Linked DNA regions of Arabidopsis thaliana. The protein of the gene in region 2 interacts with the protein of the main gene of each other region in a pairwise test. Each region holds a gene or a part of one and is shown on either strand. Other genes may lie near its edges.

The links.
Region 1: the proteins of FU (region 2) and PAKRP1 interact in binary tests that used the Arabidopsis thaliana proteins (3 or more experiments, as listed by UniProt).

The regions. Positions count from the first base shown.
Region 1 is NC_003075.7:8,159,194-8,167,024, reverse strand, and holds the start of PAKRP1 (phragmoplast-associated kinesin-related protein 1), read left to right. Parts: upstream 1-1,810; 5' UTR 1,811-2,016; coding exon 2,017-2,295; intron 2,296-2,591; coding exon 2,592-2,726; intron 2,727-2,818; coding exon 2,819-2,902; intron 2,903-3,006; coding exon 3,007-3,132; intron 3,133-3,228; coding exon 3,229-3,288; intron 3,289-3,383; coding exon 3,384-3,437; intron 3,438-3,520; coding exon 3,521-3,613; intron 3,614-4,027; coding exon 4,028-4,123; intron 4,124-4,261; coding exon 4,262-4,407; intron 4,408-5,037; coding exon 5,038-5,187; intron 5,188-5,268; coding exon 5,269-5,398; intron 5,399-5,473; coding exon 5,474-6,670; intron 6,671-6,783; coding exon 6,784-6,882; intron 6,883-6,966; coding exon 6,967-7,119; intron 7,120-7,191; coding exon 7,192-7,831. UniProt on the Arabidopsis thaliana protein: Plus-end directed kinesin-like motor enzyme that plays a critical role in the organization of phragmoplast microtubules during cytokinesis.
Region 2 is NC_003070.9:18,604,521-18,609,526, forward strand, and holds the start of FU (kinase family with ARM repeat domain-containing protein), read left to right. Parts: upstream 1-1,990; 5' UTR 1,991-2,296; intron 2,297-2,516; 5' UTR 2,517-2,542; coding exon 2,543-2,632; intron 2,633-2,717; coding exon 2,718-2,792; intron 2,793-2,887; coding exon 2,888-2,980; intron 2,981-3,085; coding exon 3,086-3,160; intron 3,161-3,237; coding exon 3,238-3,330; intron 3,331-3,735; coding exon 3,736-3,799; intron 3,800-3,887; coding exon 3,888-3,972; intron 3,973-4,156; coding exon 4,157-4,229; intron 4,230-4,302; coding exon 4,303-4,371; intron 4,372-4,478; coding exon 4,479-4,559; intron 4,560-4,716; coding exon 4,717-4,789; intron 4,790-4,873; coding exon 4,874-5,006. Other genes in the region: AT1G50220 (B3 domain protein), read right to left, coding at 1-55. UniProt on the Arabidopsis thaliana protein: Plays a role in conventional modes of cytokinesis in meristems and during male gametogenesis but also acts in nonconventional modes of cytokinesis (cellularization) during female gametogenesis.

The DNA of each region.
Region 1 (7,831 bases), on a different chromosome or scaffold from region 2:
AAAAAACATTGTCTTTTTAGTGAAAAAATTTCTCGAATTAATTTTTTTCAAAAAATTAAAATTTTAGAATACAAGAAAATCATCAACGCTAGCAAAATTTTAACAAATCTAACATGATTAAAAAACTATGGGATTAATTATAAGCCATAGAAACTTAGGTTTTGTTTTGTAGACTTGAATGTTTTTCATAACATTGTTTATCCAACATTGACGGATTTTACAAAGTATGGAAAATGTTATGTAAACGTACATTTTTCATGGATGATTCTTTTGAGCTCTAATTAAAATCGGTCAAAAAAAAAATTATGTAAACGTACATTAGGGATTACTAGCACATTTAGCATATGTTTTGCTAATTTTTCATGTCTCTCAAACATTATAGGGATGTTGTTGACAAATTTTTCGAATATGGCAGATTTTATAAATGTTCGTGAGTCAATGTGTAAAATTTAGAGAATTATAATACGGTTGGATTTATTTTGGTTAGTCTCCTGTGTTTTCTTAAAAGATACGTGGTTTTATTGGCAGATTTTACAATATCCAATAGATCTTATGGAAATTATGCAAGTTGTAATGCAAAGATTACTAGAAGCCTTAGATTATTTATTTATGCTAGTTTGCCACGTTTCTAACAAAATTTACGATTTTATTTGTATAATATGTAAACATAGCAGCATACTTAATGAAAGTGTGCAAGTAGTTGTGAACTTTAGGAGAATATTTACATATTTTGACTAAGCATGATACTCTATCTTGTGTCAGACAAATTTTGTGGTTTTATTGGCATACTATATATGAGAACATTCGTAACAAAATATATATATATATATGAGAACATTCTTTCGACTTCAAGTACATGGTGAATAGTTGTGAAGACTTGAGAAGATTTTATAGTAGAATAAGATTTTGCCTACTATTGTACCAAGTTATCAGCATAATCTGCTAATCTTTGGCAGATTTTATAAAATTTGCAAGTGGTTTTGTTTACTCTCTTGATATTATTAGCAGTTTAGCACACGCTCCCAAGTCCGGAGGACCTGACATTAGTTTCAATTCATGCTTTATCATGTATGAATTTTTTTATTTTTTTTTTAAATTGCATGAAGAATTTCAATTCATGCTTTATCATGTATGAATTTTTTTATTTTTAATTTTTAAATTGCATCATCTTCAATGAATTGTCTAGTATTCAATGAATTTTATGACATAAGAATCACTTACTTCAATTTTGAAGAGATTGCTCATCGCTACCATCGAATTTTGTATTTTTTGACACTCATATTAGCTCTTCATGTCGTTGGTAAGACTAAATTGTAAGTAAATGACTAAATGTGGTCGCATCTGTGCTATTGACTTTTAACCCAAAAAAAAAAAATCTGTGCTATTGACTAATTTACTGCTTTGATGATTTTGTCGTTCGAACTACATTTATTCACAGTCAAAGACATATAATATAGTTGAAGATAGAAATGAGTACTACTGCTGCCCAATGACAACCACTAAATCTGCAACCCACGATACGATTACTCGCGAGCCATGCTTCGTAACGGGTCAAAAGTTTTAAACCCATACCCGCTCCATAGCGGATGGATTGGATTTTTACGCGCGGTGGATCTTAAAAAACCCGTGCGGCAGTATTACTACCACACGTCTAAAGACTAAAACACACACCATTAAACACACACGTGGGCCTTTTCTTTTTTTGTTGCTCATTCCCTCCGTTGGATTCATCCTACGGCCATAAAGTCACGATCACATAAAATTCATTTCTTTTTAAATAAAATAATTTAGAAATTCATGTGATGCGAATCGTCAACACTTCACAAGATCTGACAAAAACAAATTCAAAATTCTCGCTCTTTAACGGCTCTCTCTCTCTTCTCTTCTCTCGTTCTTCTTCCTCTTTTCTTTGCCCAAACACTAGGGTTTCACTGACGCTCTCGTAGAAGCGCAGATTCGATTTACTTTCCCTCTTTCTTCTACTTTGGGTTTCTAATTGTAGATTTCACGGCGGAGATGAAGAAGCACTTTACGTTACCAAGAAACGCTATCTTACGCGACGGCGGAGAGCCACACTCGCCAAACCCTAGTATCTCGAAATCGAAGCCTCCACGCAAATTAAGATCCGCCAAAGAAAATGCTCCACCTCTAGATCGGAACACGTCGACGCCTGACCATAGGTCGATGAGAATGAAGAATCCGTTGCCTCCGCGTCCGCCGCCGTCTAATCCTCTTAAACGGAAACTTAGTGCGGAGACTGCGACGGAATCTGGGTTTTCAGACTCAGGTGTCAAGGTAATTTCACCCTTTTCTCAGAAATTAGGTATTATCGAGACAAAATTTCTAATTAAGTAATGTTGAATCATATCTTTGAATTCACCCCAATTGAAAGATTGTGTAGTTGCTAGAATTGGTTAGGTTTCTAATTGGAGATGGTTTGTGTACTTTCTAAATTTGGTTACGTTTCTAATAGGAGAGGTGTAGAGTGACTTGGTGAAGGCTTAGGTTGTTTTAGAACATAGCTCAATTGTGAAATTCCGTACTCATTTATAATGAGGAAGAGAAGGTGATCAGATTGAGCCAATTTTCAGGTTATAGTTAGAATGAAGCCTCTAAACAAAGGGGAGGAAGGTGATATGATAGTAGAAAAGATGTCCAAAGATTCCCTCACAGTTAGTGGACAAACTTTCACATTCGACTCAATTGCAAATCCGGAGTCGACACAGGCAAGATATCTGTTTGCATGATTCTTGATATTATTATGCTATGTCATTGTATGATTCCGAATCTCTAACTTTGTCTTTTGTTTCTTCCTCAGGAACAAATGTTTCAGCTTGTGGGAGCCCCTCTTGTTGAAAATTGTCTATCTGGATTTAACAGTTCTGTATTTGCTTATGGACAGGTAGTTTTTATTTTCTAAAGTCTTCCTTTGAGGCAGGGTTCCATTTATTGGATTGTTTGATTGTAACTTATTGATTTAACTGATCATGAAATTATTTCTCTCAGACTGGTAGTGGAAAAACATATACCATGTGGGGTCCTGCAAATGGATTGTTGGAAGAGCACCTCTGCGGTGACCAAAGAGGTTTGACCCCACGTGTCTTTGAACGATTGTTTGCCCGAATCAAAGAGGTGATGCCTGGTTTTGTTCAATTCGTGGTTTTGACCTTGTTCAATTATTAGCACATTAAGAAGAAGATTCTTCTTGTTTCTTTTTTTGGATTGCAGGAACAAGTCAAGCATGCTGAAAGGCAACTCAATTACCAATGTCGGTGCTCATTACTCGAGGTTTAGTGACTGGCTGCATTACATAAGTTTGGATGGTGTTTGAAGGTTTCATTTTATAGAGTTTGATATATAATTTCATTCTTCTTCCTTTTCAGATTTACAACGAGCAAATAACAGACCTACTGGACCCAAGCCAGAAAAACCTGATGGTAAAATGAACTTTCAAATTTAACTTGGTTTATATTCTGTAGGAAAACATGGGGTTCATCGTTTTTCGTTAATGTGTCACCAGATTAGAGAAGATGTCAAGTCAGGTGTTTATGTTGAAAATCTGACTGAGGAATACGTAAAAAACTTGACAGACGTGTCACAGCTTCTGATCAAGGTTTGTTATTCTTTTTGGTTTCTCACTGCAGTACTGCACCTTAAATCATGTTTGCTTTGCAATATTTCTTAAGTACTTAATCAAACTTGCTGCTCTAAAAGTACACAAAATACAATTTCCGGTATCATATCTTTGTAATTCTATTAAGTTTTAATGAAGCAATGTGAAAACTTGTTTTTGTTAGAAAGAAGAGATTGCCACAGATTATATAGAATGCTGCTACTGGGGTTTAACGTTGATGTTCTGTTAGTGATGCTGTGTGAATCAAATGATCTCACAAAGCTTACATTTTATAGTGATAGTTAAGAGAAATTATTGTTCCTTAGTTGGCAATATATATGAAACGGTCAACATATTTTCTCTCCTGATAAAAATAATATTTGATAGCTATACTTGTGTCTGAAACTGGTGTAGGGTTTGGGAAATAGAAGGACTGGTGCAACGAGTGTAAACACAGAAAGTTCAAGGTCACATTGCGTATTTACTTGCGTTGTTGAATCTCGGTGCAAGGTAAGCTACTCTTCTACATTAAATTTTTCATATACTGGCTTTTTGAGATTTTTTCATTTGTTTTTAAGAAAATATATAGAGTAGTATGAATGTATGATGGAATATACGTCTGACTTCTTTAGAATGTACTTTTTGCAGAATGTTGCAGATGGCTTAAGCAGCTTTAAGACAAGCCGAATAAACCTTGTTGATCTGGCTGGTTCTGAACGACAAAAATCAACTGGGGCAGCCGGAGAACGTCTGAAGGAAGCTGGGAACATCAATCGATCGCTCTCTCAGCTGGGGTATGATTCAGAGTAGTCTCTCTTGTTATTTTTGGATCTCAGTTAGCATGGAATTTTCGTTAATTTTATACTGCAGGATGCACTAAAGAACTGACACTTAGCTTCTGCTGTTCTTGTGTCTTCTAGTTTTTGATACTGCGGCAGGCACTAGAAATCTAGTTTTTGATTATAAAAGAACTGAAAATTTGGGATAATGGAAAATAATTTGAAATATGGTGGTAGTAGCTTATGAGGATCTTGTGTCTTTTGAGCAGTGCTTTTTGATATTTAATTTTAGAACAACTATCTCTCCATGTGTTGTTGTCTGATGATTGTCTTATCAAAGTGGATTTATTGTATATCCTTTACCTTTTTGCTGAGGATCTAAAAATACTTTGGGCTTCCCAGAAGTTCATATTTATTTGTTTGAAGTCTTCAGACCTCAAAAATGGCAATTATTTGTCTGCTGATTGTCTTATCAAAGTGGATTTATTGTATATCCTTTACCCTTTTGCTGAGGATATACAAATTTTGCTTGGTAAAAAGAAAAAGATTTGCTTGGTTTGTTCACCAGTCCTGTTATTGGCAGGATGTTTACCACAAGATGAAATTATCAACTACATGTTTACCATATAAATTTGTTACGTGCAGGAACTTGATTAACATCCTCGCAGAGATTTCTCAAACAGGGAAGCCAAGGCATATACCTTACAGGGATTCCAGATTAACATTTTTATTGCAAGAGTCTCTTGGTGGGAATGCAAAGTTAGCAATGGTTTGTGCAGTTTCTCCTTCTCAAAGGTAACGCAGGACCCCTATTTCCACTTCAGCAATTATTTTATCTCCATCTTCTAGAATATAAAGTATATACGAAAACTGCAGTTGCAGGAGTGAAACCTTCAGCACCTTGAGATTTGCTCAGCGTGCAAAGGCAATACAGAATAAGGCTGTTGTCAATGAAGTGATGCAGGATGATGTAAATTTCTTGCGTGGAGTGATACACCAGCTGAGGGTACGGATTCTTTTACATATTTTATAAGATAGAAATATAAATATGAATATGGCTTTTAATGGATAAATTGTGCAGGATGAACTACAAAGGATGAAGAATGATGGAAATAATCCAACCAATCCAAATGTTGCTTATTCCACTGCATGGAATGCACGTAGAAGTTTGAATTTATTAAGAAGCTTCGGTCTGGGTCATCCAAGGTCCTTACCTCATGAAGATAATGATGGTGATATTGAGATGGAAATTGATGAGGCTGCTGTTGAAAGGCTTTGTGTTCAAGTGGGTTTGCAATCATCTTTAGCTTCTGAGGGGATCAATCACGATATGAACAGAGTAAAGAGTATACATTCATCTGATGGCCAATCTATAGAAAAGCGGCTTCCTGAGGACTCAGATGTTGCCATGGAGGATGCTTGTTGCCATACTGAGAACCATGAACCAGAAACCGTGGATAATATGAGAACTGAGACAGAGACTGGCATCAGAGAAAATCAGATCAAGACACACTCGCAAACTTTAGATCACGAGTCCAGTTTCCAGCCTCTTTCAGTCAAGGATGCTCTTTGTTCTTCACTGAACAAGTCAGAGGATGTGTCATCATGCCCTGACTTAGTTCCGCAAGACGTTACTTCAGCAAATGTATTGATAGCTGATGGAGTAGATGATCCAGAGCACTTAGTAAATTCTGCATCTCCCAGTCTTTGTATAGATCCAGTTGGTGCGACTCCTGTATTAAAATCTCCCACACTGAGCGTCTCTCCTACGATTAGAAATAGCAGGAAAAGCTTGAAGACATCAGAATTGTCAACAGCATCTCAGAAGGATAGTGAAGGAGAAAATTTAGTTACAGAAGCTGCGGACCCATCTCCGGCTACATCCAAAAAGATGAATAACTGTTCTAGTGCTTTGTCTACGCAGAAGAGCAAAGTTTTTCCTGTACGGACTGAGCGGTTGGCATCTAGCCTCCACAAAGGAATTAAACTTCTTGAGTCGTATTGCCAGAGTACAGCTCAAAGACGATCGACGTACAGGTTTTCCTTCAAAGCTCCAGATAGTGAGCCTTCGACCTCTATAAGTAAGGCTGATGCAGGTGTGCAGACCATTCCCGGAGCTGATGCAATATCAGAGGAGAATACAAAAGAGTTTCTGTGCTGTAAATGCAAATGCAGAGAACAATTTGATGCCCAGCAAATGGGTGACATGCCAAATCTTCAGTTAGTACCTGTTGACAACTCGGAAGTGGCAGAAAAATCCAAGAATCAAGTTCCCAAAGTAAGAACTGTGACTTTTTTCTAACATAGATTTAGATAGTTATTCACAGTCTTATTTTGTTTCCACATTTCTATAATTGGTTCCTCCAACTGATCGAGTTTTACACTTTACAGGCAGTAGAAAAGGTTCTAGCAGGTTCTATCAGGAGGGAAATGGCTCTGGAAGAGTTCTGCACTAAACAAGCCTCTGAGATAACCCAACTTAACCGACTGGTATGATACTTGCGTCTTTTTCTGTTTTTAATCTCCCTTAGTAACTGTATCCTCAAACATAAATTGGTCCAAACCGTGTAATAGGTACAACAATACAAACATGAGAGAGAGTGCAATGCCATCATAGGACAAACAAGGGAGGACAAAATTATTCGCCTTGAAAGCCTTATGGATGGCGTATTATCTAAGGAGGATTTCCTTGATGAAGAATTTGCTTCTCTTCTCCATGAACATAAGGTAATTGTGGCTTCTCGTTTTGTAAAAGGGTATTTGATTGCATTACCCTTTTACTGACATGTAATGTTGCAGCTTCTAAAGGACATGTATCAGAATCACCCTGAAGTGCTTAAGACGAAGATTGAGTTGGAAAGAACGCAAGAAGAGGTCGAGAATTTCAAGAACTTTTATGGTGACATGGGAGAACGGGAAGTGTTATTGGAAGAGATTCAGGATTTGAAGTTGCAGCTGCAATGTTACATTGACCCTTCTCTTAAATCAGCTCTGAAAACGTGTACCCTGCTTAAGCTTTCATACCAAGCTCCCCCAGTTAACGCTATTCCTGAGTCACAGGACGAGAGTCTTGAGAAGACATTAGAACAGGAAAGACTTTGTTGGACAGAGGCAGAGACCAAATGGATTTCTCTCTCCGAGGAATTAAGAACTGAGCTTGAAGCCAGTAAGGCGCTGATTAATAAGCAGAAACATGAACTTGAAATTGAGAAAAGATGCGGGGAGGAGTTGAAAGAAGCAATGCAGATGGCCATGGAAGGGCATGCACGGATGCTTGAACAATATGCAGACCTGGAAGAGAAGCATATGCAATTGCTTGCAAGACATAGAAGGATTCAAGACGGAATAGATGATGTCAAAAAGGCAGCTGCAAGAGCTGGAGTCAGAGGAGCAGAGTCCAGATTCATAAATGCACTTGCAGCAGAAATTTCAGCCTTAA
Region 2 (5,006 bases):
GGTAATCGTCGTCTTTTAAAGATGCTAGCCACCGGTCCCAATGCTTTATCTTCATTATCACGTAATGGTTTGGTCCTGAACAAAGAAAAAAAAAACATATGATAAGATCATAAAGAACTAATGTCACAATGAAAACTGAAAAGCAATTTGAATAAGTTAATTAATGCCAAAATCAGATAAATAAAATCGTTAGTCATTCTCATTTTCACAGTAAAAATATGAAACACAGAATTATTAATGATGAGACTTAAAAGGTACATACATGTTCCTCCTATGATCCGAAAAATTTCTGAAATGCCTACAAAATTTTGGAGGCTATATATGCTCATCTTTATTATATCAATCCAAAGTGTAGCCACTTTCTCACCAAAAGAAGAATCTCGAACAGAGACTTTAAAAACATTAAACATCGGATCAAACCTATTAAAACCCTTGTTGAATCAATTTAGGTGTTACATCTTTGAGAGAAACAGTAACCGAAACAAATTAAAAATTTTACTTGGAGGTGGGGGTTTACATGCACGTGCTTTGCATTTCTTCTTCAAGCCTAAAGCAAACGCGGACGCATATAGCAGAGAAGACGTCTGCAATATGCTTTCGTGTGCAAGCAAGTATGATTTTGGCGGTTGGGAAGTTTTACAATCGTTTGATATATATCATGCACGGGTAAATGTATAAACTACCGTATCCATAAATTATTATCATATTAGTCATTTTTAATTAATCGTAAATAAGAAATAAATAATAAATTTAATTAAAATTTAAATTAAATTAAATAAACGAATAGTAGCAAACATAAATTAACTGTTCGGTTGATGGACGTTAACGTTTCGTCATCTTTTAAAGATATATAAATTTGCTTATTTTATTGTGAATTTGAAACCATTTCCTTTTGCTTAAGATTTCTTAATGATATCACTACAAAATTGATGAGTTTAACATCAGTTTAAAAAAAAATCTTAATATCATTTTTAAAATGATGCTCGAATTATAGAGTCATTTTAAAAAGAGATACTAAAACTAGTGAAGGTAAAAAATATTTAGTATCATTTTTTCAAATGACACTATAATTCAATCTTAGAACATGATTGGTTGGGATGTAAAAGATTTATAAAGCCACTAAAAAACCTACAATCAATATTGAAACAATCATGTTTTAACTTTCCTATTTTTTTCTCACACCCCAAATACTATATATTTATATATATATTTTAATTATTTTGGCTGTAAGTGCAAGTTTTTCTACAGCATAACTTTAAGATTTTTAGAAGGTCTATATTTTTTTTATTTTTTTTTTCACTTTATTTTTTTATTTTCTTTAAAAATATTACTATATTTTATATATATATATATATTAAATTTAGTTATATGGATATAAATAGTAGGTAAATACCTACTTTATGACATATATAACTCACATTGATAATTGGGAATAATATTATATAAAGTATAATTTACCAATAATATTTTTTTATTTAAAATACATACTATCAAAATCTTATTTCTACAACTAATTTATTTAAATAATTATATTATATCAATAAAATATACATCCTAATTTTTACAACAATAAACCCTACGACTACAGTCATCACACCTACATCAAAAATTTTATAGTAATAAATCTATAACTACATACCGACGAACCAATCACCCACTTAACATCATTTCTTTTTGTTAGTATCATTTCTTAAAACGTTTGTATAGATATTGCTAGGTGTCACTTTGAAACGATTAGAAAATATATAGTTTGTTTCATAATTTGAAATTGACGTTAATTATTATAATATTAGTTATAAGTTTTTTTTTAATGTTATGAATAATAATCGGTGATTTATGTGGAACAGTGGAAACAATATTTTATTTATAATCAAAATAATATTTTAGGAACCAATTTGGAAAATGATAAATAATTTATATTTTTGAGTTCTTTTGTTTTTAAAATAAACCGGAAATTACGACTTGTGGTTTGTTTTTACTTTTTTATAAGGTTTGAGAGAGAGAGAGAGAGAGTACACACTACTCTGACTCAAAGATTTTTCCCTCTTTTTGAATTTCAAAAGTTTCCGAGAATATCCAAACGCAGAGTTTATCTCTCTCTTCAACCATCGATCCAACGGATCTCTCCTAGTTTCACCGCCGAAGACCTCCTCCGCTGTTTCTCGTCGCCGACTTCCCAGTTCTACCATCTCCGGCAGCCACCACTTCGCCTATTTTACGCATTTTCGTGAGCCACGGTTCAATATTCTTCTTTACTATCTCAAATCTTCGATTTCCCCGTTTACTCGCCAATCAGGTTTAGGATCTGCATTTCAAGCTTAATTTGGATGTTTCCAGTTTTTCGATTCGCTACTTTTTGCTTATGCTAAACAAGAAATCGGAACGGAACCCTAGTTTAGAAACTAGCTTTTAATCGAATTAGACTGAATATAGTAGACTCTCCCTCAATTCTGCTTATTTGGGTCTGGGTACCGTCATTTTACCGTTTGAAGCTAAAACGGTGCTTTATTTGACAGATAAAAAAAGCCAATCGTGTTCAGATATGGGTGTCGAGGATTATCATGTGATAGAGCTTGTCGGTGAAGGATCTTTTGGGAGGGTTTACAAAGGAAGACGCAAGTATACCGGCCAGGTAAATTGTTGCTGGGTTGTTCTCTTTGTTATCATCGGCTACTTAAAATCAGCTAATCAATTCTTAATTTGGTAATTTTTATCAGACGGTGGCGATGAAGTTCATCATGAAACAAGGAAAGACTGACAAGGATATACATAGTCTAAGGCAAGAAATCGAGGTTAGCAAGTTTCAGTCCTTAATTGCACTTACCATCAACTTTAATCCCAATCAATTTTATGGTATTTGACCAACATTATTTCTTTTATGCCTCAGATATTGCGGAAGCTCAAGCATGAGAATATCATTGAAATGCTCGACTCCTTTGAAAACGCACGAGAGTTCTGTGTCGTCACTGAGTTTGCCCAAGTACTTTTCTCACTGTAGATTGTAGAATCTAAAGTACTGATTTATGAAGCATATAGCTAGACTTATATGAAATAAAGAATCACCATGGAACACCCAATTTTACAGGGTGAATTGTTTGAGATTCTTGAAGATGACAAGTGCCTTCCCGAAGAGCAAGTTCAAGCAATCGCAAAGCAATTGGTAACACGTTTTGCCAACATGGCTCTTATTTCTATATCTGATTATTAAGACAATTTTGAAACTTCTTTAAAATCCAGGTAAAAGCATTAGATTACTTGCATTCCAACCGTATAATTCACCGTGACATGAAGCCACAAAACATTCTTATTGGTGCTGGCTCTGTCGTTAAGGTAATATAACATTCCTTTTGCTGCTTCCAGTAATTAAGTTTGAAATGCTGTTTCTATGCTTCCCACACACATGAGTTGTTCATATTCTTGTTTCTTAAAGATAAAATTTAGGAGAGAATTATCGTTACAATACGATTCTTCTACTTTTTTCCTCTTCTTATGAGTACCAGATTACGTGCTAACTTCTTGAAAATTGATTTATGAACCATGGATCTTTCCGTCTATGATTATTTCAGAAAACTAAGTTAATCATGTGAGTACTAGAAGAGGATACGGCTAGCCAGGAATCTCATACACTTAGCTAAATATAAGTAGAAACATAAGTATTTTCAATGCGGCTTGATTATATGATTTCTTTAACTTCTCTTTGCCATCAACTAACTTGTCTCCCCTTTGATTTTTCAGCTATGTGATTTTGGTTTTGCTCGAGCTATGTCCACCAACACTGTGGTTTTGCGATCCATTAAAGGTTAAAGATCTTTAATTTCCTTAGACGTATTAATGAGTGAATAAATCAATAAGTCTCTCCTTGTTATTAATCCAAAATATCACATCAGGCACTCCGCTGTACATGGCACCAGAGCTTGTGAAAGAACAGCCATACGATCGCACTGTCGACCTGTGGTCTCTTGGTGTTATATTGTAGGTGGAGAAACTCATCTGAGTTGTCGTACTTCAATTGTTATTGTTATGAAAGCTATTACATCTATAAATGTGATGATTCTGATGGCTTTTCTTTCATAGTTTTTTGTTTTCTGTATTCTTTATGTTATCCACATTTCAATGCACTTGATATGGTTCTAATTAATCTCTTGTAATACATCAGGTACGAGTTATATGTAGGTCAGCCTCCCTTCTACACCAATTCTGTGTATGCTCTCATTCGTCACATTGTTAAGGTATATCAATATTTTTTTATTTTTCCATAGTCTATGCTTAAAGTATGAGCTAACGTTTTAGTGAATCTTCAAGGATCCTGTCAAATATCCTGATGAAATGAGTACTTATTTCGAAAGCTTTTTGAAAGGATTGCTCAACAAGGTGATATATTTATTTTTTCTTTAAGTTGTCCTTTTTACCATTTATTGATATGTTTGAGACCATTGCTGGACTGGGTTAAACTGTTTTTCTATTACTATGCGAAACAGGAACCCCACAGTCGATTAACCTGGCCTGCTCTTCGTGAGCACCCTTTCGTTAAAGAAACACAAGAAGAAGTTGAAGCCAGGGTAATGGTCTGATATTGATGACTTATACTTTGCAGCTTGAGTCCAATGTACAGAGCATTTTGTTAAAACTGTCTTTTTCATGCAATGTAACGGATCTCAAATTAAAACATGTTGTTGGAATAATAGATCACTAAGAACATTTTGAACGCCTATTCAGGAAATCCATACTGCAGTAGTTGACAATAAGGCAGCTTGGATGCTCAAAGGAAATGGAGGGCAACAGAGAAATGGTTTGAATCTCTTCAGTGTGTGGTTAGAATCTATTTCTTAATTAATTTTCTCCTTTATTAAATTTATAGTGTTAAATGTCACAGAAAAGTGCGACTCAGTGACCCTGGTTGAGGACATGTCTGCTACAAAAGGTCTAGCTGACGTTCAGTCAGATATGAAGAGTGCTGTCAAAGTAAATTCTCCACCCACTGAGGATTTTGTGGGATTCCCAACCCA